Notamacropus eugenii: one gene and its partner. The protein of the gene in region 1 interacts with the protein of each later gene in a pairwise test. Links are inferred from orthologs where the notes say so. Each region holds a gene or a part of one and is shown on either strand. Other genes may lie near its edges.

The links.
Region 2: the proteins of MIA2 (region 1) and TTC23L interact in binary tests that used the Homo sapiens proteins (3 or more experiments, as listed by UniProt). The two-hybrid records come from large-scale screens. The link is inferred for Notamacropus eugenii from reciprocal best matches to the Homo sapiens genes MIA2 and TTC23L.

The regions. Positions count from the first base shown.
Region 1 is NC_092872.1:331,981,547-331,993,686, reverse strand, and holds the start of MIA2 (melanoma inhibitory activity protein 2), read right to left. Parts: upstream 4,569-12,140; 5' UTR 4,385-4,568; coding exon 4,270-4,384; intron 1,247-4,269; coding exon 1,113-1,246; intron 1-1,112. UniProt on the Homo sapiens protein: Plays a role in the transport of cargos that are too large to fit into COPII-coated vesicles and require specific mechanisms to be incorporated into membrane-bound carriers and exported from the endoplasmic reticulum.
Region 2 is NC_092875.1:426,593,083-426,605,193, reverse strand, and holds the start of TTC23L (tetratricopeptide repeat protein 23-like), read left to right. Parts: upstream 1-6,084; 5' UTR 6,085-6,312; intron 6,313-6,884; exon of another isoform or gene 6,885-7,014; intron 7,015-10,033; 5' UTR 10,034-10,151; coding exon 10,152-10,186; intron 10,187-12,111. Other genes in the region: RAI14 (ankycorbin), read left to right, coding at 395-472.

The DNA of each region.
Region 1 (12,140 bases):
TAACTTCCCATGCCAGAAATACAGGATCCCTAGCATAGATAATCTATGAAATACAAAACAAAAAACCCTTAGGGTTACCCTGTACACACTAGGATCTCAAGTAACCACATGTCTGAAAAAAAGAAAGGTACAAATTCTTTTATAAAACAATCAGACTTACACAGGCAAGCAAGGATACCCTGCTCAGTTAGGAATGACTGAAGAATGCTTTAGATGAAGAATGATTTCTACCTCTCAGCAGAAAGGCACTACGCCAGAGATCTGGAATGAAGGTTGATGCCTATGTGCTGATATGCTTTGACTGACTTTACTTATTAGAAGGAAGAGGGTAGAATCAGTAGGAAATGATAGTGATTTTTTTTTTAAATCATCACATGATTTTTTTTTTTCTGGAAACTGCAAATATTGAAGCAAGGAGATGGAATCAAGACAAGAAAAGCAGCCAAAACCTTCCAGTGTGTAAATCAGATGTTCACACTGAGCAAAGTGATATATTGTCCTTGAGATGAACAGGCAGAGTTTCAGTTTTAAACAGTGGCCATGATTGCTAACACTATACATGTTCAGTGAGGAAAACACGTATCTTTAGCTAGTCTGTCATACTTATACAATTTGGTAACAAGATGATTAGTCATAACATTTCTTAACTGAGAGACAATGATACCGTTACACAAACTTATTTCCCACTGAAAGCATTAATCATTAATTTATTCATGTTAATGACTCAGGAAAGTAATCTGAAACAATGAAGCTTTTGTGATACTCAATCTACCTGGACTTTGGGCCAAATAGAAGTTGTTTTCCCTATGAAAAATACGCTTCTTTCTTTCCCAGGCAATGATTCTTTCACTAGAAGTCTTCTATAGTAACATGTCCATTCTCTTTTGACAGAAAGCACATCTTTGAATCTAATGAATACTTTCATTCTTTCCCATAAGTGACCAATTCTGTTCAGATTTTCAGATGTGTTTAAAGGCTTTAATATCTACAAAGTGCTTTCATAACTTCAGATGAAAGCTCTTTTAGAAATACAAAATATATTTTACTTATCTTAATCCCATCCTAGATATCCAAATGTTGTTTCTGAATTCAGTGTTAAATAAGATACTTACACTTCCTGCCCACAAATCTTCTCTTTCTCCTGAAAGTTTGGCGTAAACAGATATCTCTTCTCCCGTTTTGAAGCTCAAGTATTGGCAGTCAGATCCTTCATAATCTCTTATGGCCACGGCTCTGCTTATTAAAGCTATGTAAATATTTAAAGAAAATACACATTTTAAACACTAATATTTAAAAATGTTCTATCTCTAGTCTCTTCTCCCTTCAAACCATCCTTCATATCACAAGTCAGATTAATTTTCTTCCTTTTTGTCTTTCATTTTTCTTTTCTGGAATCAATTGGAGTTAAGTGACTTGCCCAGCATCACACAGTTTGTAAGTTTCTGGGGCCAGATTTGAACTGATATCCCATCCTATCTCTAGGGCAGGTGTCCTATCTACTGCACTACCTAACTGCTCCCAAATTCATTTTCAAAATACCAATTTCATCAAACAATTCCCCTATTTAAAAATCTCCAATGGTTCCCTACTGCATATCCAACTTTTTCCTCTCATGTCTATCCAATAATCTTTTTAATGTCCTCTGAACACACCATGTGCATTACTAGTTCGTGTAACTGCGATATTCTCCCTGCCTGTGCCAAGACTTCAAAAGTTAGATGATAAAAACTGTTTTTCATCTCCTGATAGAAGATTGGTTGGTAGACCCAAGGTATAGGATAAGGATGTGGATATGGTGATTTTAATGATTTATTTTGCTTGATGGTGCTTAGTTTTTACAAAGATTATGTTTTTCCAATTTTTATTTGTAGGGAAAGGAGACAGGAGTTGCAAAAAAAGAAAGAGAAGAAACAAAAGAGGTCATTGAACCATCTTAAAAAATGCTCAGACAGAAATATAAAAAAGTTTAGAGGGAAATAGACAAAACAGCTTTGAAAGAAACATGCTGAATTTATCATATAACTTTTTAAAAAATATTCTGTATAAAATTTGTTACATAATTTCAGTTATAATTAATTTTTGCATTTTACTTTCTATGTGTAAGGTGTTGGGGTTCTTTTTGGTGTTTGGTAAATTCAGAATAATAAAATTAAGTAGTGTTTGTATAATGGAAAAAGTTCTGGATTTGGATTTAAACAGCTGGAGTTAAAATACAATCTCTACTAAATTTTTGGCCTTCAGCAAGTCACTTAATCCCATTTGCATCTCAAGTTCCATATCTATAAAATGAGAGGATTGGACTGATCTGTATGGTCCCTTCTGGCTCAAAATCTGAACATCCATCATGATATGGAAAGATTTAGAGTCAGAAGAACCCATTTAGAAAATCTAGCTGTATGAAGTTGAGCAAATTTCTCCTTTTGTGGGAAATTTCCTCACTCTTAAAATGAAGGAGTTTGACTAGATAAATTTCAAGGGGTTTCCAATAATTCTGACAAATCCTACTAAAAGTCCTTTGGGGTTCAGCTAAGTCCTTGCTCAGCTACTCTACTACAAATCAATTGTTCTCTATATTTATGATCTTAATGTTTCATTACTCATATTGTAGTATCAATTATTTAATAGGTGTTAGGTCTTGCTCTCTAATCTATATAAGTAAGTTGAAGGCAAGAAATGTGTTTTACATTTCTTTCCTATTCCCCTCAGCTCACAAGAGAACTTAAAATAAAATCTGTTGAATGAGTAATTTACCAAATGCCTAAGATTAATTCCTTTAATACAAACATAATGTATGGTATGTGTATATATTGTAATCATTAAAATAATTTCATACTTAGAGTAGTGATGTTCCTCAGTGAAAAACTGATTTAATAAGACCACTAATTAAATTTAAATATCACATAAAGTTACACAAATTGGAATGTCTTCTTTATTGTTGATCAAAATCAGAGGTTTCAAACACAAGGCCCGTGGGCTACTCCCAAATTTGGCCCAAACTAGATTAAAATGGAATTGGGAAATACTTAAGAAAATAAAGAAAAATTTGATAGAATGAATAAGTGGGAAAAATTCAATAGAATTAACATGTGGTCGATATGCAGCCAGAGGATTCTTACATATAATTTAGTGGTCCTGTTTATATTTGAATTTGATATCTATCACTGGTCTGAACTATGACTCTATAGATATGAAAATGTGAGAAAAATAGAGATTTGAGACAGGAAATTAATTACAAATGAGCAGTTGACTGATAAATCTTGTTCCTCACTTTAGTTTACTTTTCAGAAAAAGGATTCAGAAAAGTACTTTTTCAAAAGTTTAGAAATAAAGGTTACATAAAAGACAGACGATAATTACTTATTTGAAGCCATTCTAATCTATTAGGCTACAATTATACCACATAATATTAGGAGACCTGGGTTCAAGAGAACACTTCAGATTATGTTGATCATGGGCAGTTTATTTCATCACTCAGAATATTAGGTCCCAGGTCTGTAAAATGGGGAAAGTAACAACTATTACACCTCAAAGAGCTGTGAGCATGGAACAATAAATGTAAATAGAGTATTTTGCAAATTGTAGGGCATGATACTGTCAGCTTAAAAGTAGATGCAATAACCAAAATATTTTGTGTAGTAGATTTAAAAAGAAAATCTAACTTGCATTGCTCATATACATAAACAAAATCATGAGAGAAGTCTTTGATATTGGCTAAAGGTTTGCATAAGGAATACATGAAAAATTAATCATGAATCCCTGAGGGTCTGGGATGCTAAAATTTGTACATACACACACACACACACACACACACACACACACACACACACACCAGTATAAGTCATGGTGGCTTAAATATATTTTTTAAATTGTTGGAGAAATAATGATACTCAGAACATAGTTGAAAAATTAAAATAAAATTTTTGTTATATAAATCAGCAAGAATGTCTTTATGTACTCCAGTAAACAAAATGAATAAGTGGGAAAATAAAATGGTAAATAAACAAGTACATTTTAAAATGCTAACAAATTTGATTGTGATAACTGGTAAGACCTCTGTGTCATCTGAATTTATACCAAACTTTGACCCTTTGACCATTTCTGTGAGGTAATGCCACAGAACACTTCTTTTCTAATATTTTTCACAGGCAATCTACAAAGCTAATCTTTACAACTTCATTTTTTTCCCAATGGTATACCAATATTTATACCAAATATTTCCATTTTAATATTTATGCGATGTACTTACGTTGCTATTTTCCATATACTTACTTTCACATTCCACATCTCCGCAGTTTTTAAACTCTGCCAGCAGTTTTGTACTCTCCGAGCTCTTTATCAAGGAAATTACTAGAAGAAAAATTCTGTAGACTCCAAACTGTCCCATGACAAAAACAGAAAGTAGGAATTCAAAAAACAGTCAAAATGTACCATTCACACGAGAATACTGCCTCCTAAACAAGAGAGGCATTTTTTTCACTTGCTATAACAAAAAGGTTTTAAAAGCCTTTGGCAGATATATTTCCTTTCTGTTTGCCAGTTGAGCTTACTGGATAAATGCTCTCTTTCTCAATCTGCATTGACAGCTATTTATATAACACACTAGTATTTAATTATTAACAGATTTGTTTACTTTGACTAATATTTTTATAAAGGCAGCCCATATAAATCTACCTCATTTAAAGTTACACTGCTTTCAGCATGGATTTCTTGGAATGCATAGCAACACAACCTCTTCCTGTTAGTCTTCAGAAAAGTCAATCAATGAATATTAATTGATTACTTACATGTGTATAATGCTGCTTTCAGTTGTAGGCTGGATGTATAGAGTCAGTAATAACTTGTCTAAAGAAAATGATCCATTTTTCTGACTATCATGGGGAAAGCTGTTAAAAATATAATTATAAGAAGTAATTTTTAAATTATATTGGAAGGTATATTTATTCCTACTTAATCTAAACAAAAAAACCACTCAGACTTTAATTTCATACAATAGTAGCTAAAACATGGCAAGTAAAAAGTTTGAAAAACATTCAATCTGTGGGACTAAATAGAAGTAAAGTGTCATGTTTCAATATCTGGGAAATGTTTTAAAAGGATCTCTTTTCTTGCAAGATTTCAATACATTTGCTTAGGTTCTAACATACGAAATCAGTTTGTGGGATATCTCCATTAGTGTCTGAGAGAAGAATCTCATAAAGTCACAGTTCCCTCTAGTGTCTAAAGCAGAACAAAACACCACCACAAAAATGACAAATACAGAATTACAAAAGTTAGATAAGTTTTGTTTGGGGTTAAAAAGTTTTCATGCCAAAGTTATCTTATTACATATACAATCTCCAGTGCCATCAAAGGACCAATTCCTGACAAAGAGAAATAAATAACCCCAAACACCATCTACAAGTCCTTCCACCCTTGCTAAGCAAGGAGCCTGTAGGTTAAGTCAGAAGCTTTTCAGGATATGCAGTAAACAAAAAAGGACCTATGTCTTAAACAGGCAACCTGCGTTTCTCCCCACAATGAAAAGGTAAACAGCTTGATTGTGAATTCTCAGAACTGTAGTCCTGGAAAGAAAAAATTCTATTTTCCAAACTTGGGAAAGACCATTACAGGCTCTGAGCTGGGGCTAGCAGGGCTGCCATTTCAGGGGCTTTTTGACTGATTTGCAACAGAAAGAAGAGTGGCATGGAAATGAAAGAGGGAAATTAGACTCTTTGCACTGTGGGTTTGACATTAGTAGCAGCTCCTGAGGAAACAACTGTTGGTAGCTAACTTACAGAGTGGATTTGGATCCCTGGACTTGGAGTTAGGAAGACTTGATCTCAAATTCAGCCTCGGATACTAGCTGAACGACACTGGGCAAGTCATTAAACCTCTCTGAGCCCCAGTTTCTCCATCTGTAAAAGGGGATAAAAATAGCACCTACCTCACAGTTCTGGAAAGATCAAACAAATGGTATCATTAAGGCACTTTGCAAACCTTAGAACTCTATATAAATGCTAGCCTTTTCATTATTTTTACTATTACATACCAGGAAACTAAGCAGTAGAGTGGATAGAGAGCTGGGCCTAGAGTGAGAACAGACCTGAGTTCAAATAGTCTCAGACACTTCTTAGCTGTGTGACCCTGAGCAAGTCACATAATTTGATTTTCTTGACTGTGAAATGAGGATAATGATAGCACCTACTTCCCAGGTAATATTTGGTGAATATTTGGTGAGGTAATATTTGTGAAGTGCTTAACCCACTACCTGGCACACAGTAGATGCTAAATAAATGTTTATTGGTTGATGGTTCTTTAAGTGTAAATATAACTCCTGATTTAATTAGAATCTTTGAAGACATCTTGTCCTTTACATAAAACTATTATCAATCATAGCCATTTTGTGACACATAACAGGGGGAAGGAGAGGGAAGGAGAGGGAAATGGAGGAAGCCAGTGTCTAGTGTGGCATATACAGGAAAAGAAAATAAGTCAAGGGATTAAAACCCTCTCCAGATTCCCAGGATTTAATCTTGACCTGGTTGATTGAAAGACAATCCTATGGTTTTGGTTATTAATCACTTTAAGTGTCTAAATGATAGAGAAAGATTATTCAAGTCATTTCAGGCCTAGTGTGTGGTTTAAAACTCATGTGTCTCTGGGGAAAACTCCAGTTTTCCATGGAATAGCAGTGTGGACTACTTAAAGATATCCCTGTGGGAAAAGAAAGGCTAAATCGTGTTTCACAGTGAAACCAACAGGTTCTAAGTAGGAACTAGTCTGGAATAACTTATTTTCCACTTGGAATTTTAGATAATATTGATAATAATAATAATGGTTAATATTTATGCAACACTTTAAGATTTGCAAAGCACTTTACAAATTGTTGACAAGTGAAACCAGTTTGGCTAGTATGACCAAATACCCCTAAAATGCAAGTATGCAAAAGCTAATAAACCTAGAACCTGGGCATTATTGCAAAGTGTTACTGCATCCTGGTTACATATCCTTGTTGTTAGAGCAAAGTAAACCTTCTTTGGTTAGCTATTCAGTGATTGTGAGTGTCTCATTTTGTCCCAATATCTAACATGAAATATTTATTAACAAAAAAATATTTATTTTGGCTCTTTTTATAGCTTCCCTAAACTGGACATTGAGGTCTACCATTACGGAATGGATAAATAAATTATGGTATGTGAATTTAATGGAATGTTATTGTATTATTCCAAGTGACAAAATGTACAGTTTTAGAGGAAAACAGAAGACCACTATGAACAGATGTAAAGTGAACAGAACTAGGACAGTTTACATAATAATGACATTATAAAAAAAACAACATTAAATGACTTTAGAATTCTGATCATTGCAATGATAAACCAACATGCCAGAGAATTACAGATGAAGCACACTCCTACCAGAGAAGTAATGGACATAAAATGTGGAATGAAATACACACTTTTTAAACATGACCAGTGTGGGAATTTGTTTTGCTGGACCATGCATATTTATATGAGGGTTTTATTTCTGAAGTCTGCCTCTTCATCACTTCTTATTTTTATTGTTCCTTGGGGGAAGACAGGGGAATGGGAGAGATATGCAATAAATATCTAAAATAAATATACAAACCAGAACTTAAGGAGGACAGTACCAGGACTAGCCATATGATTTTTAAGTGTAATAAAGGAATATTAACAAATATCAAAAAGGTAAAAATAGTCTAAGCATGAGGTAATGAGGGCTTGCACTAGAATGGTGGAAGTTTCAGAGGAGAGAAGGGGGCATATAGGAGAGATGTTACAGAGGTGAAATAGGTAGGCCTTGGCAGAATCTTAGATATGGGGGTTGAGGATAGGTTGGGAGCCCAAGGGACTGGGAAGATGCTGTTACCCTCTACAGGGTAACAAGTGGAGTATTTAGGGGTAAAGAGAATTAGTTCTGTTTGGGGCATAGTTAGTTTAATATGTCTACTGAACATCCAGTTTGAGATGTCTGAAAGAAATTGAGATGTGAGATTGAAGGTCAGCAGAGGTGTTGGGGCAGGAAAGGTAGATCTGAGAATAATTAGCACAGAGATGGTAATTAAATCTATGATCATTGGTGAGATCACCAAGTGAAGTAGTGTAGGGAGAGAAAAGAAGAGGGCACAGGGCAGGCCCTAAGGAACAGGGTTGTGTTCTGGATGGTGTGTGGTCTGGAAGAGGATCCAACAAAGGAGACTGAGAAGAGGTCAAATAGGAAGGAGAAAAACCAGGAGAGAGCAGTGTCCTGGAAACCTAGAAAAAAAGAGAACATCAAGGAAGAAAGGACAAATCAGCACTTACTATGTGCTAGGCACTGTGCTAAGTAGCACTTAACTTTTTGTATTGTTCTGTATGACCTTAGGTACTTAATCTCTCAGTTTTGAGGTTCTTTCACTGGAGTTTAGCTGTCCTAGTTGGTAAATCAGTAGACCTCCTGGTCCCAGACCATGTTTCCAGCCATATACCTCAGCAATCTTGCCATCCAGCACTGTCAACATTAATCACAGGTTCATATTCGTTTCCTTACCTCCCTCCTCTTTCTCCCTACTAATTGATATGGGAACTATGAATATAAGAGGAAATACAAAAGTCCCTTCCCTCAGAGCTTTTATTCTATTAATCAACCAATCAAAAGACATTTTTTAAAGTACTTACTATTTGCAAAGCATTGTGCTAGTGCTGAGAATAGATACAAGACAAAAAGCAAAAACAGTCCCTGCTCTCAAGGAGCTTACATGGAGTACGTAACATATTAAATAGGTATGTACAAGATACAATGTAGATGGAAAAATAACCTCCAAAGGGAAAGTTGGAAGAACTGGGAAAAGCTTCCTGAAAAAGCTGTATAGTTTGAGCTGAATTTCCCAGGCAGTCAGAGATTCTGAGAGTTGAAGTATGGGAGGGAGAGCATGCCAAGCAGGGGAGACAACCACTGCAAAGGCTCAGACAGGAGATGGAGTGTTGTGTGAGGATGTAGCCTACTAAGGCTAGAAGAAGTGGAAGGGAGTATAAGACTGGAAATGTGAAGAGCTTTAAGTGTGTGTGCCTGGGTTGGTGACATGACCTGACTTACATTTTTACATAAAAGTCATTTTAGTAGTTGTGTGGAGGGACTTGAAGTAGAAAATTCAGTTACATCATTTCAATAGTCAAGGTGACAGGTGGTGAGGACCTGAAGTAGGGTGGTTGCTGTGTGAATCAGGAGAATCTCTAGTATCTGAGAAATGGAAAGAAATAATAAATTGCTTCTGAAAAGGGCATATGAACTGACTCTCTTACAGTTCCACTTCATCAACCCTATAGTTTCCCCAAACAAAATACTTTTCCCTAGCTACCACTCCTCTATATCCACCTGTATATTAGCTCATTCCCTACTACCTACCAGATAATACCAGATACTTCCAACCACACTAAAGATCATCCTGTATTTCTTCTACCCTTTGCAGATAAACTCCTTGAGAAGACCATCCACAATAGGTGCCTTCACTTTCTCTTCTCTTACTCTTGCTTCAGGGATGGGAAACCTGTGGCCTTGAGGTCACATGTGGCCCTCTAGGTCCTCAAGTGCAGTCCCTTGACTGAATCCAAACTTCATAGAACAAATCCCTTTAATAAAAGGACTTGTTCTGTAAAACTTGGACTCAGTCAAAAGGCTAAACCTGAGGACCTAGAAAGTTTAAGGTCACAGGTTCCCTACTTTTGTTACAACCTGGCTTCTGACCTTTTTATTCCACCAAAACTGTTCTCTGCAAAGTTACCAGTGATCTCTTAGTTGTCAGATCCAATGAGTTTTTCTCAAGCCTCATTCTCCTCAACCTCCCTGCAGCCTTTGGCTCTGAGAGCAGGGACTATTCCATTTCCTCTTGTATTTATAGGTAGCTAGCTACCTATCACAGTTCTCATATCAATTAGCATGGTGAAAGAGGGGGGAAGTAAGGAAATTGACATGAAGCTGGGATTAACATGGCAGGGCTAGATGGCAAGATTTTTGGGGTGTATGACTGGAAGCATGGTCGGGGATCAGGAGGTCCACTGATTCACCAACTAGGACAACTAAACTCCAGTGAGAGAGCACCAAAAGTGAGAGATTAAGTACCTAAGGTCATACAGAACAATACAAAAAGTTATTGAGGACTGATAAGGTACTTGGGTGCATGTGCTTGGACCCCAATTCTAAAAAATCACATTTCTCCCTAGCCTCAAAACACTATCCCAGGCAGTTTCTCCCCAGCCCATGGACACAGCTTGCCTCAGCAACAACTGTTATCTCCCTTCCTGATATAGTAGCCAGTTGTACCTATAGAATTTATTAATATGAACCATCTGTGTACTGGTTGAACTGGCTGTGTACTGGGTCATAACAACAGTTACTACTCACTGACCAATCATATGTGTCCCAGACTTAGACATATGCATACTCCCTTACATTTATCTTATCTAATAAGACATTGATGAGAGCAGCCTGGTATTCCTGAGTCAGTCCTGACCATTAGCTGACTCAGGGATGTTTCAGGCCTAAAACCACACCTCCATGTAGCCCCACCTTGGTCTATTTCCTGATGAACTCTGGATAAAATGCCTGCTCAGTAGATACTAAAAGCACATGTTCCTTTAAGAACCAACTATTTAAGAACTAACCATTCCTTAATCCTGCCCTGAATCACCTAGTTAGCCTATTTGGCACGTTTTACTATAGAATATTCTATATAAACTTTACTTGTACCCCTCTGAGGTTGCAGGTTCCCTAAGAACTCTTACCCTGCTGAAAAGCATAATAAATCTTTATCTTGACCTCAAGAATGCTTGAGTCCAGGAACTCATTCCAGGCGACCCTCCCCTGGTACTCCAGTCTTTGAGGGGCAGGGGAGGAGCATGGGGGTTCTCCTCCTCCTCCCCCCCCCTCCAGCCCTTAACAACTACTACTTAGCACAGTGTCTAGCACATATTAAGTGCTTAATAAATGTTTATTGGGTGTTGATTGCCAGGCATTGTACTAAGCACCAAGGATATAAATGAGAAAAGGAGACAGTCCCTACCATCAAGCAGTTTACAATCCAATGGGGGAAGACAACATATACAAGGCTAATCCAAAGTCTACAACTGATGGGAAATGAAGAGTTCCTTTGGTTTCAGAGCCTTTTTTATACATAGGATTTGGGAGGAATTTTTTCCTCTGCCCACCAAGCAGAGAGGCAGAAGCCACTGAGGGTCCTAATAAGATGTGAGTATTAAAGCAGAAGGCATCTCCATGATGATGAGCTTTTCTGGGGAGAGGGAGGGGGTAGAGGCTTGTGTTTGTCATGATCATGGTGGAGTATAATCCAAAGAATGCAACTGAAGAGATGGACATAACCTTCTGGGGATGGGCTCAGAGTTTCTGTTCACCAACAACCATATTATTAAGGAGCAGGCTTCTTAACCTATGACTGATCCCTTTTCATAAATTCCCTATGAGTTTAAAGAGGCAGAAAGTTATACAAGAACTGCTAGTCTTGGGGGGCAGAGCCAAGATGGCAGAGTAGAAGTAGAGACTTGCTAGAGCTTTCCCTCCAAGCCCAGACAAATACCTGTAAAAAATGACTCTAAACAAATTCTGCAGCTGCACAACCCACACAATGATGGAGTGAAGCAAATATCCAGCCCAAAACAGCATGTAAGGTTGACAGGAAGCATCTATCACACAGCCCTGGGTGGCTGGGGTAATGAACAAAAGCCAAAACCAGAATCAGACTATAGAATCTTACTTTGGTGACAAGGAAGACCAAAATATACAAACAGAGGACAACAAAGTCAAAGCTCCTACATCCAAAGCCTCCAAGAAAAATATGAATTGGTTTCAGGCCATGTTAGAGCTCAAAAAGGATTTTGAAAATCAAGAAAGAGAAGTAGAAGAAAAATTGGGAAGAGAAATGAGAATGGTTCAAGAAAATCACGAAAAATGAATCAACTGCTTGCTAAAAGGGACCAAAAAAATGCTGAAGAAAATAACACTTTAAAAAATAGACTAAACCAAATGACAAAAGAGATCCAAAAAGTCAATCAGGAGAAGAAACTTAAAAAGCAGAATTGAGCAGATGGAAAAGGAGGTGCAGAATCTCACTGAAGAAAATAATTCCTTAAAGATTAGAATGAGGTGGGTGG
Region 2 (12,111 bases), on another chromosome or scaffold:
TGTGGTTTTTTAGTGTTTCCATTGGTGGTGATGAGTTTTTCCACTGAATCCTATCCTTGTTGTCCTCATTTGGAGTAATGACTTACTTGCCTGGGGCTAAGACTTCAATGTGGTAACTAATTAGATTTGATAACATTGGCCAGTGGCAGCCTTAGGTCACTGAATACCTGAGAGAAAAGTCACTTGACCTCTGTTGTAATTTCCTCTGGAAGTGAAATATCCAGACCTGTACAGTAGGGCTGACCCTTTCCCTACTGAGGGGATAGAAGAGTTTCTGGGTAAAGGGCTTCATGATTGTCAGATGGTTCACCACAAGTAATGGGGATGTTATGGTCTATATTTGTTCAAATGTGTTCTCTGTTATATTGATTGTATTTTTATCTGAATTTCCTAGGGCCAGATGGATGAAGATGTCCAGAAAGTACTGAAGCAAATCCTCACCATGTGTAAAAACCAATCACAAAAGAAGTGAGAGACTCTGGGACTCAGTGCCAACCCCTCACATTTGCCATATTTGCCTTAAAGCAGGAGTTAAGGTTGGCAGCCACTGCCATTTTTCTCATCTGTTTGTATGCACTGTGAGTTCACATAGCTGCCCTCTCAAGCTTCTTCCCTACACAAGGACTTCTGAGGACTGTCCCCAAGGGAAGACCTTCCATTCTTCAGAATCGTCTGTTGACTTTAAGACCTAAAGTACTAGCCTTGTGATGAGCTGAGGTTGTTAAGTCCAGATCTTGGTGCTAGCTGATGACACACCTGGTTTGGGTCTGTGCGACTAAGGGACTCCACTGAGATGGTCCGTTGGATGGTGGTGACCTGCAAACCCCCACAGGTCTTGGTGTTAGTCAATCCCAGCTGTTGCAAATCTTGTGGTGAATGCTGTTGCAACTCCTTTTCCCATGGCTGCCCTCCACCCCTACTTTTAGTTAGAAGCACTCAAGATTTTAGGCTGACATTAACCTTTAACATGATTTAATTGCTAACCAAATTAACCCTGGCACTGGTTACAAGGTACACTACAAAACCCCCTCATCATGTCCTCTGGATGGAGTACATACTTAGTTCCCAACCATTTTTTTTTCCCTTCTCCTACCTTTCATCTCTTAGAGCTGTGCTGTTCAGTCCAGCAATTGGATGAATAGGATTAACTAAAATATATAGGTTAAAAACATAAATGAGTTGATTTTAAAGATTTCAGAAAACAAAAAACCTTTAAATGACACATTGCAAACAACCTATGCAAGCTTGCCTACTACTAGTGTTGTCCATAAAGCTCAGGAAATCCAAGTCCATGTTTTTCAACAAGGGGTTACAGTAAACAGTTCGTTTACAACTAAAAGAAATGCCTCGTAGTTCCTAACCTCACTTTTGTAAAGATGTTTTTTCTCCATTATATTTTTATTGGCCATTACAGATTTTTGGTACCTAAGCCATTTACTACATAAAATTTGCATTACACTATGTTAACACAATATTTTAGATAACCATGATTTAGACTTAAAATGTCTTTGGGTAAAAGTTTTCAGCTGTAGCAAAATGTACTAGAAATACTCTCAGCTCATCACAAAGTCCCAGCAGATACTAGGAAGGAGGTTTGGCCATCTGTTTGTGCTCTTGGAGCTGTCAAGCATTCCTGATGAACATCCGCCTTGCTCTTTTGGCTAAGTGTCAGGACATCATAACTGTGTTTACTTTTCCAAACATTGGGAGCATGGCTAATACCAGTCATTGAAAATTGGTAAAACCCTGATATGGTCCAGCCCTCATAATGCATAGCAAATATCTAAGGAAGAAATACTTTTCTATTCCTGTGCCATACTTAGAAGTTAAAACTTGTCTAAATTGCTTGTAGCTTCACTTATGGCCTTGTTCTTACTGAGGTATACAAATATTTAAAAAAAAATCTTTGAGGTGTTTCACCCAGAAGCTGTGTCTGCTTTGACTGAATGGACAGTGTGGCTCAAGGCTTCCTGAATTCAGTGCTGTCTAGAGCACATGCTCTCTAAACACTGGCAAAGCAAAATGGCTTTAAAACTTCCTGTCAAATAATATAGGTCTTGGTGTTACTTCAGTTGTTTAATTAACTGTAATTTGATAATTTTGAAAAAGCTCCAAAGAAATGTGAAAGGACTTTTTTGGGGGGTCAGCACTTAAGAGAACACACACACACAAAATATTTCAGCACACAAATGCTGCAGAATCTAAAACTTGAGACATTTTATAGGTTTCCTGACAATTTTAGTCTTTTACTTTGTTTCATTATGCGTATTTATTACAAGTATCCTGGTTAAATATTGAAAAGTTATACACTATAGTCTAGCATTTTTGTCTTTGTAATTTACAGGAGTTTATGCAGAAAATAAACTTTGTTTCCATCGTTTTCATCTCTGTCCAGTTTTTAATGTCCTTATTCACCACTTACACAGTTTGGGAAGAAATGTTGTATTTAGCTGTTAATACTCTTTGAGGGAGAAGCCATCCTATTTTAGCTATATCCATTAGAAGGAGTTATCAAACGAAAAATACTTATCTGCCAGTATGGTAGCTCCCACCTGCCTAATCCCTGCTGCTGGGGAGCTATTGGATCACGAGCTCGGGAGTTCTGAGCTGCTGTGTGGCTAAAGTCAATTAAATCCATCGTGGATGTGAGTATAATTAGCCCAAAGAACAGGAAGTTTGGAGGGAGGTATAGAGGAATGGGGGAGGGGGCCAGTTAGGAGGCTGTTGCAGTATTCCAAATGAGAGGTGATAAGGGCCTGAACTACAGTGATGGCTTCATGAGTAAAGATGCTCCAGACAAGATCTGACAAGTGATTGTGACATTCGGGGTGAGTGAGGAGTTAAGGGTGACACCACGGTTGTGAACTTGAGTGACTACAAGATTCCCTCAGTAGTAACGTAATGATATATGAAAAACATCACAACTCATTCATGCTGGGGTATTTCTATGATACTGGCTCTTTCTCACAAACACAAAACGGAGGGGCCGGGGTAGGGTTGGATCTTACTCATGGGTCAATGTCACAATGTATAAAGCCTACCCACCCAAGGGTGACGATCCCTCATCACATTGCTAATTCATCTCAAACTTGCAGTCCACCGAAAACCCCAGATATTTTTCAGAACTGCTACCTATAGAGACCTAGATATCTCTATATACTGCCCTTATCTTGTCATTTGATTTTTCATACCCAAATATAAGATTTTTCATTTATCCCTTATTACCTCATTTCATTAGATTAATCTTAATACTCTAACCTGTCAAGAGCTTCTTGGATCTTAAATCTGCTATCCAGTGGGTTAACTAACTATTCTTTGTTCATCTGCAGTTTTGGTGAGTATGCCATGTATGCCTTCATCTGAGGAACAGATTACTCAAACCCATATGACCCATTCCAAGTCCAGTATTCTTTCTATTGACTTCCATGAAGCTTAAGAAGGAGGACGATGAGAAAACAAGACCAGAATTAGTGACCATGTGCTTCTCTTTGTAAATAACTGCCTATATTCAGTGCGTCACAGCGTAGGGATAACGATCTCCCTCCACCTTTCACAGAAAAAGAAGCTCAAAGATGTGTCCAAAGGCATGAAGCAATATGATGACTAAGCCAAACTTCTATGTTTCTGTTGTATGTACAGTTTTCTTCCCTTCTTACTCCCAGGTTGCATATATTATTAGAAGGGTTACTTTATTAATAACTCAGCATTTTCTTTAGGGTGACCCAATTAGGTCTCTTATGAACATTTTAAGGGAACACATAATAGTGACCTCCCAAACCTAAAGCTACCTGGGACCTAGAAACCTTACTTCCCTTTTAATATAATTATGTGGCTATTAGTGTGGGCAGCTAGGTGGAGCAATGGGTAAGGTACCAAGTCTGGAGTCAGTGAGATTCATCTTCCTGAATTCAAATCTAGTTTCAGACACTAACTGTGGGTCCCTGGGCAAGGCACATAACCCAGTTTGCCTGTGGCAAACCACTGCAGTATCTTTGCCAAGAAAATCCCAAATGGGGTCATGAAGAGTCAGATACAATTGAAACTACTGAACAACAAAAAAACCATTAGTGCCAGGACCAAATATATCCATAGCAGAATAACCCTACCCCATCCCAATACATTTTTTTATCCAGGTGAAATCAAGTTAAAGTCAATCCCAAGTATCTAATAGACTCATCTTTTTAGTGCCAGCTGGCACAGATAACTACTCTTCACCCTGCTGCCTGCATCCTCAAGTCAATGACCCAGCACTCTGGTCCTGTGGGGATTGAGATGATTACCTACCCTCTTACCACCCCATCCCACTCCTTACTCCCCCCTTCCCATTTACTGTATCACAAAGACAATTTGTATAACCGTATACCATATAACAAAGACAATTTCTTCCCCCATACTTCCAAATGCAAAAGTACAGACATTTTTTAAATCCCTCTTTTTTCCTGGAAAGGCATCATCTCTAAATAACCTGACACAGCTTCTAATGCTTGCAGATTGATTACTTGGATTGTTGAAGGTTAAAGAAAAATAAGTATTAGAGAAGAGGACTCAGCCCTACCCGAATAGCTGCCTTCCATAATCCCTAAACATTAAATATTGTCCAAATGACCCCTGGGGATTGCAAAGGTGTTGAAGATGTATTTCTTCCTTGTTGAATGGAGGAAGATCGAGGAGGTGGGCTCTCCTTTGCTTGGTGCCTTGAGAGCCCATCATTTAACTCTACCATTGGAATCAAGTTTTATTTGAAGGACTACTTAATCACTTAGGCTGAAGGGCAGTTGGCTGACATGACTCAAAAGTATAAAACACTCCAAATCTGGAAATGGGATGAATTATAACCCTCTTCGTTTTTACAGATAAAGAACACAGTGCCCAGAGAAGTTAATGCAGAGCATCAAATCAATTTGTAGAGCTAGCCACACACCACAAGGCCAAGGAACCTGATGTTGTCCATTTCGGATGTGTGACCACCTCATCAACTAACCCAGCAATTCCTTCTAGGACTGGTGCGTTGTCTTTCCCCATTAGACTGTAAGTCTCTTGAGGGAGGACACCATTTTGCATATTTATTTCCAGCACTTAGCACAGTGTTTGGCACACAGTAATCATTTAATAAATGTTTATTGACTGGCTGTAATTATTACTCTTGCATAGGTTACTCTGGACCAGACCTACCTTTTCCCGAATAGTGAAGGCTGTGCCTGCTATGAAAATGGGATTTGAGCGAGGGGAAAAAATACTCCTTTCCTGGACTTCTTTAGCCATCTTCCCCCGAAATTTCCCCCATTAGCAATACATTCCTTTGTGTTAAATCACTCCCTCCTCAAGACGGCCTTTGGCGGTATGGAAAGAGCTGTTTAACCACAGGACTGGCTGTGTGACCTTGGGCAGCTTTTTAACTTTCCTCTGTAAACTCGGAATAATACTTGTACCACTGATCTCACAAATTCTGGTTAAAAAATCAAATGAAATAGTGCATGAGAAGCAGTTCTCCAAACAAACGTGAGCAGTCATCCTTTACAATGCAAACGCCACTGTGAAGGGATGGCAGTACCCCAGACCTGTCTGAACTGGTGCTATTTTTTCTGGGCTCGGAAGGGAGAACCTAGAGCTTCGATTAAGACTGGATTGAATGCAGATTGCTAAGGGCGGATAGGGAGCGGTCCCTCAAATCAGGCGCGCCTACTTGGCTCGCTCCTATACTCTCCCCATGCACGTGGGTCCCCCTCTTCTTGCTCGCACACAGGGGCTTTTTTTGGAGCAGATCTGGGGATGTGGAAAGAGTGAGCAGGCTTTCCTAGGGGAAGGATGATCTGTGCTCCGGTCATGCCCTCACCCCACCCAGAGAAGCGGTCAAGGAACAGGAAAGGGTGGGAAGCGGGGCGCGCCCTCATCCCCTCCTGCGGCGGGCACCGTGCCCATCGCTCCCCGCCGTCTCCTCCTTCTCCTGCCAGCTCGAGCTCCCAGCGCACGGGGCATCCCTTCGTTCGGTTGCCGCGGCAACCGCCAAGGCTGCGTTCGGTGTTCGCTCAGCACCAAGGATGCCCGCCGCAGCGGCCGCGGCGTTCTGTTGCCTTGGTAACCCCCATTGTCTGGCTCCCCCGCCTGCCTCTCTCAGGCGGAGGAGAAGGGTCCCTAGTGCCCCTCGGCTCTCCCGACGGAGGATGCGCTCTCCTGCTGGCAAAGCGCCCTGACATTCCCACGGGAAACCAGGCTGCCCCCTAAGCAAGCGGCTTCTCCCCTGCTCCCACCTCTCCGCACCATTGGAGCCGGGAAGGAGAATTTTTGATTGTGTGTTTCCACTCTCTTTCTCAGGTAATCAGTGCCCCCCGACCCTGGAGACGGTCAGGAAAGGGGTTCAGTGCCTCCCGGGCAAGGGACGGCCCCGGTCCCCACACCCTGGGAGAAGCCCCTGCGGGCCCAGAATTGAGGAATAAAGCAACTTTAGGGAAAGAAAAACGAGACTGAACCCCTCGCCACCTCCCTTCCTCCCCAACATGTGGTTTCCTGGAGGGCTTTCCAAGGTCATTTATGATTTCACCACGCAGCATAGAAGAGACCATCATCATAACTGACGTTTCTGTAGTGCTATAAAGCCTCTTGTTAAACACACAACACCTCATAACTCACAACAGGACTATGGGGTAGGTACTACAGGCACTATGTTTATCACCATGTTACCGGCGAGGGAACTGACACCGCTGGGAAGCGTTAGAAGGCAGAAAGTGGACCGAGGTGTTGCTGACTCCTCGTCCAGCCTGCACGTTTCACTCCACCGTCCACTACCCTGTGCTGCCCTCTCCCAGCATATGGCTTATGAGAGTTATTATTGCTTCTAGTTCTATTAGAATTACTTATATATACCCCAATACTTAAAATTTCCTCAGGGTGAGTTCACCTCTCACAGCCATCTGCGGGCTGGAGCCACTTTATAACTTAGTGGATGGTCTTCAGGAGTTGTTGTGGTCAATACATTCATCACCTAGCATCCAACCTGGTGGACCCTGGGGCAGAAAGGTTGGTTCCTGTTTGACACATCTTCATCTCTGGGTTCCTTCTTGAAGTCTCTCTCTCTCTCTGTCTCACTGTCTCTCTGTCTCTGTCTCTGTCTCTCTGTCTCTGTCTCTGTCTCTCTGTCTCTGTCTCTCTGTCTCTGTCTCTCTCTCTCTCTCTCTCCATTTCTCCTTCTCACCCCCAGCATATCCAGTAGCAGAGCCCACGGTCATCTTTAACCTCCATGAGAACTTGAATGGGTTATTAGTTCAAGATGATAATTATTATAGTATAATAAAATAATGAATAATTATAACAGCTCACATTTATGTATTTCATTAAGACTCACAAATTACAACAACTGTGAGGTTATCATCCCCCTTTTACCGATTACAAAACCAAGACTCAAAGAGACTGAATGACTTGCCCTTGGTCACTTGTCCACAAAGCTCTGCAACTCAAACCCAGTCTTGACACTAAATTATAATGAGTGATAAACAGGCCAGATTTAACATTCTCTGAGGTTATGTGGGGAAAAGAGAGGCAATATGGTTTTGGATAGTGGATAGGATGCTGGACTTGGAAATTTGGGTTCAAATTCTACTTCTGACACATTATGATCTTAGGTAAGTCACTTCATCAGGTATCCTTAGGCAACTCTCTAAAAGTACAAACTATATAGATGACTTTATCCCACACATAGGGAAGAAATCACAGATTATTAACCAGATGTCCTTGAATGTTGTGTTCCTCAAGGATCTGTGATTGACTTCATCTGAATGGTCAGGATTCGTCAATGTTTTGTTTAGAAGACAGCATGGCACAGTGGAATGTACATTGGACCTGGAGTCAGGAGACCTAGGTTCAAATTCTGCTTTGGACATTTTCTAGCTGTTGGACATGGGAAAGGGAAGCATTTATCCTCACAGAGCCTCAGTTTCTTCATCCACCAAATGGGAATAACAATACTTGTACTACTCCCCCCACCTTAGATTTAACTGAGAAAAGTGCTATGCGGAACTTAATTTGATATGTAAACTCAAATAATTATACTGAAATCTCATATTTGGTTTTAGTGCCTTTTAACACCTATTTTAACCAATTCTCCTCCCCTCACCTCGCTCTCTTGTCACAAAGAAAAATATTTAAATGTGACCAGAAGAATCCTTTCCCCACAAAGGGCTTCCTCTGTATTTCACATTGTCTCAGTTCATCCAGAGGTAACTCTCTGTCTTTATGATTCATTGCCCCCCACCCAACAATAACTATGGAGAAATCTATGAAACCAAATTTAAGTATACTGCTCATGTTCACAAAAAGCAGGTAATAGGAACCTTCTAAAAAGCCCAATGTGGACATCAAGCATTTTATTTCTTCTATCATTGAGATAGCTTAAAACACAGAAACCTCATCAGGCACATCAACAAATCACAAAAATATAAAACAGTATTACCCATCATGCATATGTGTGAGTCTCCTAAAAGGTAAAAATGACTGTGAGACTAAAGAAATGGATATTTCATTTTCATCTCATGCCTGTGCTCTTTGAGCAACTATTGCCCAGTCCAGATTTCCTGCACAAACTTGGGCTTTCTTAGTTGCTTTTACCGGTAGCATTCTTGGTGTGCTTTTCCTTATGAATGTACTGCTATTGGGGAAATAATCTCTGGCCACCAGGGACAGAAACATCCATTTCTCAAATTTGTTGGTCACCTGCTTGTATTAGGGGAGACTACAAAAAGGGGGAAGGTGGTCACCTAGCAAACATGTTTTTATTGTCATGATTTCTCCTACCTTTCAGCAACTGGAAGAGTGAGTCCTGAAAAAGAAGTGTTTCTTCTTGGTTCCTCCTGTAGCTTACCACACACATAGCTCCTCCTGACTCTGAAACCAGTTATCTTCGATGCCATCCCTGTATCTGGCAACCAGTCAGGAGTTGTGTCATTTCAATGAAGCACAGGTCCCAAAGAGAGACTAGAATACATGTGCCCAGTTTCCCTTGCTCAGTCCCACTAAATAAGCCAAAGTAGACACAGTGACTAAATCTGACAGGGTAGATGCCACATCCCACATCCACCTCTTTACAGAGCAGTGTTCAAACCTTATTTTTAGCCATGCATTTGAATTGTATCCAGCAGAGTTTCTAACAAATGGGAAAATAGACTGATGAGTTTCACTTCCATTAACGTTTCTCATCTACTAGTGAAATAAAGACGATGAAGTTCTAACTGCTATCTCTATATGACCCTGGCCAAGTCACTCTATTTCTTTCTGACTCAGAGGAAAATGACCTCAAGTCCTTTTGAGTTTGTAGTTCTTCTCCCTGTTCAACTGGATAGTTAGCCACAGAAAAAATGAAGAATGGTCATATTTAACTATTTCAATTTTATAATAGCCTTATATTTATCTATTTCAATTTTATATAGTCTTTCCTCCCACAGTCCTAACATCAGCGAGTGAAATGGCTGGTTGATTCATGAGCTGTAAGTGTGCTGGGCTTTAAAACAGAAAGCAATATGAACTGGGGTGGCTATGAATAAGGCAAAAATCATGATAGGATATTAATTCAAAATGGGAAATTTAGTTTTAATTTAAAAATTGTGCTATTGGCCTTTTTAATTTTGTGCCCTCCCAAAAGAAGTAACCATGAAAAAATGTATGTATATAATTATAGGTCTATAGTCATAATTATATTTATGTATTATATAATGGTAGTCACATAGTTATAGTTATATAGGATATATAGCTATGGCAATATATGCAATTACATAGTTTTATATAATGATAATGTTATATATCCATATACATACATACATATGTACATACATATATGCATATACATATTTATATATACGTGTGTGTGTATATATATACATATGTGTCTGTATATATATAAAACTCTCTGTGTGGAGCTGCACTGTGTTTTTTATGAAATCTCTCATTTAACTGATAATCGATCTACAATCAATGGCAAGAGAAAAGAGGAAGCTCCTGCACATCTCATAACCAGAACTTTATTTTAGTCAGTTGTGCTTCTCTGTAGAAAGAAGATGAAATCTTGTCCTATCAATATCCCTACTGAGGTCAGCAACACAACCTGGAACTCCTGTTTCTGCAAGTAAGCAGAACTGAACTTTGTAGCCTGCAGTAATTCAGGAGACATGGAATGGGACCTCCCAATCATGAAGAATCTTTGGTGAGAGTTTTTTTTAAAAACAGTAATAGATGTATTATATAATATCTGTAGCTCTTCTGTATCTTTATTCTACCTAATGAACCCCCACTGGCACCAGCAAAGCATTAAAGTTTTGGTCCAGGTGTCTGGAATTTGTGACTCAAGTGAAAACTACAATGGAAGAATCAAATTTTCTTCGCACTATTTATATCCTGAGCCAGCATAGTACAATGGGAAGAATACTGACTCTGGAGTCAGGAGGCCCTGGGATCAAAGGTGACTTCTGATTCTTGCTACCTATGTGACCTTTGGACAAATCACTTCAATCCCCTTGGAGTCTTAGTTCCCTCATCTATAAATTGAGGGGATAAGGGAGTATAGACTAGATCAATGGTGACAAAGCTCAAATAGAAATGGGGCCGCTAAACTGTACAGATTGCATATTGACTTAGAAAAGTGCTAATATTAATATTTATGCTTTTTTGTATTTTTATTTGTTTTGTTTAAATATTTACTAATTACATTTTAATCTGTTTTGACACACACTCAGGAGTGTCATAGGCTGCAAGTGGCCTGAGGGCCAGATGTTTGACTATGTACTGATTGTCCTCTAAGAACCTAGTTAAACAAAATAAGGCCATGAGAAGATTCTTTGGACCATTAGAGACCTTCCTCCAAGCTGACAAACTTTAAATGACTCCTTGGCTCTGATCATTCAACCATTTCCAGAGCTACCTACCAGCCCATTATCTAGCCCACACCTCTCCACAAGAATAATATGTTTTGCTGAAATCAGATGCTTTGCTGAAATCCAGGGGAACCATATCCTGATCTTTGAGTTATACTGTGAAATAACGTTAATGTGGCATGATCTATTTATGCCCAATGAAGCCATGGTGGTTCTTTATGATAACTGTTTTCCTTTCAAGATGTTAACTAGCCATATCTTTTCTAATACATCATATAATTTTAGCAGGCATTGAAGTCAAGTTTCTTTGCCTATAATTTATAGACTTTACTCACTTCCCTTTATAGACTATTGGGATATTTGCCTTTGTCTGGTCCTATAGTATTTCCCTGTCATCCTATGCTCTTCTAATGATCACTGAGCATAACTCAACAATCTGCTATAAAATATCCAGGTCCTCCTCTCTTATTTCATCTGATTATTTTCTATAAAACTACCTACCACTTTCCTTCAGATTAAGGGTTCTAAAAGTATGTTTTGAATTCTTAGCATCTCTTCCAACCTCCGGATCTGAATTCTCTTTTTTCTTTCCATATTAGTCTACTAGAGGGTCCCCACTTAATCAATGGATAATATTTGTGCCCTCCCTCCTATTACAGTGCAGAACTTTTTTATGCATGGAAGTTTTCAAAAGTTTTGCGACTCATGGGTCCCCTTATTCCATTTAAATTCCTGCTTCCTAACTCTTAACAAACCTGACCCCAATTAATAGAAAAACATGATATTTTATGGTTGAGACACCATTTCAACTGTTTTATTTTTGCCATATATGACAAGTAAATGACTTTTTATTCAAGAAAAGAAGTGCAGATCACCTAAAGATCTTGTGTTGACATCATCATTTTAAAAACCCCTGGTTTAGGTGAAGAAAATGTCAGGACCCCTTGTTGAATCAATTTATGAAGATTTTTTAATAATTTGGCCACTGCTTCAAAATGAATTTTTCCTCAGTATTTCTTTAGGACCTTATCTCATACTGCCAAAGCAAATGAATTATATGATTATTTAAATGATTTAGACCAAATGTCTGACTCTCTACCGGACCCCTGCTTGAGAAGGGTAGGCCTGTCTTTCATTTCCCCAGTTTTTGCTATATCTAGATCTTTCTTAGTTTTTCATAAGATGATAGAACTTAAAGTTGGAAGGAGTTTTAGAAATCACCTACAATTGCTCATGGGGAACTATGGCCAGAGAAGGG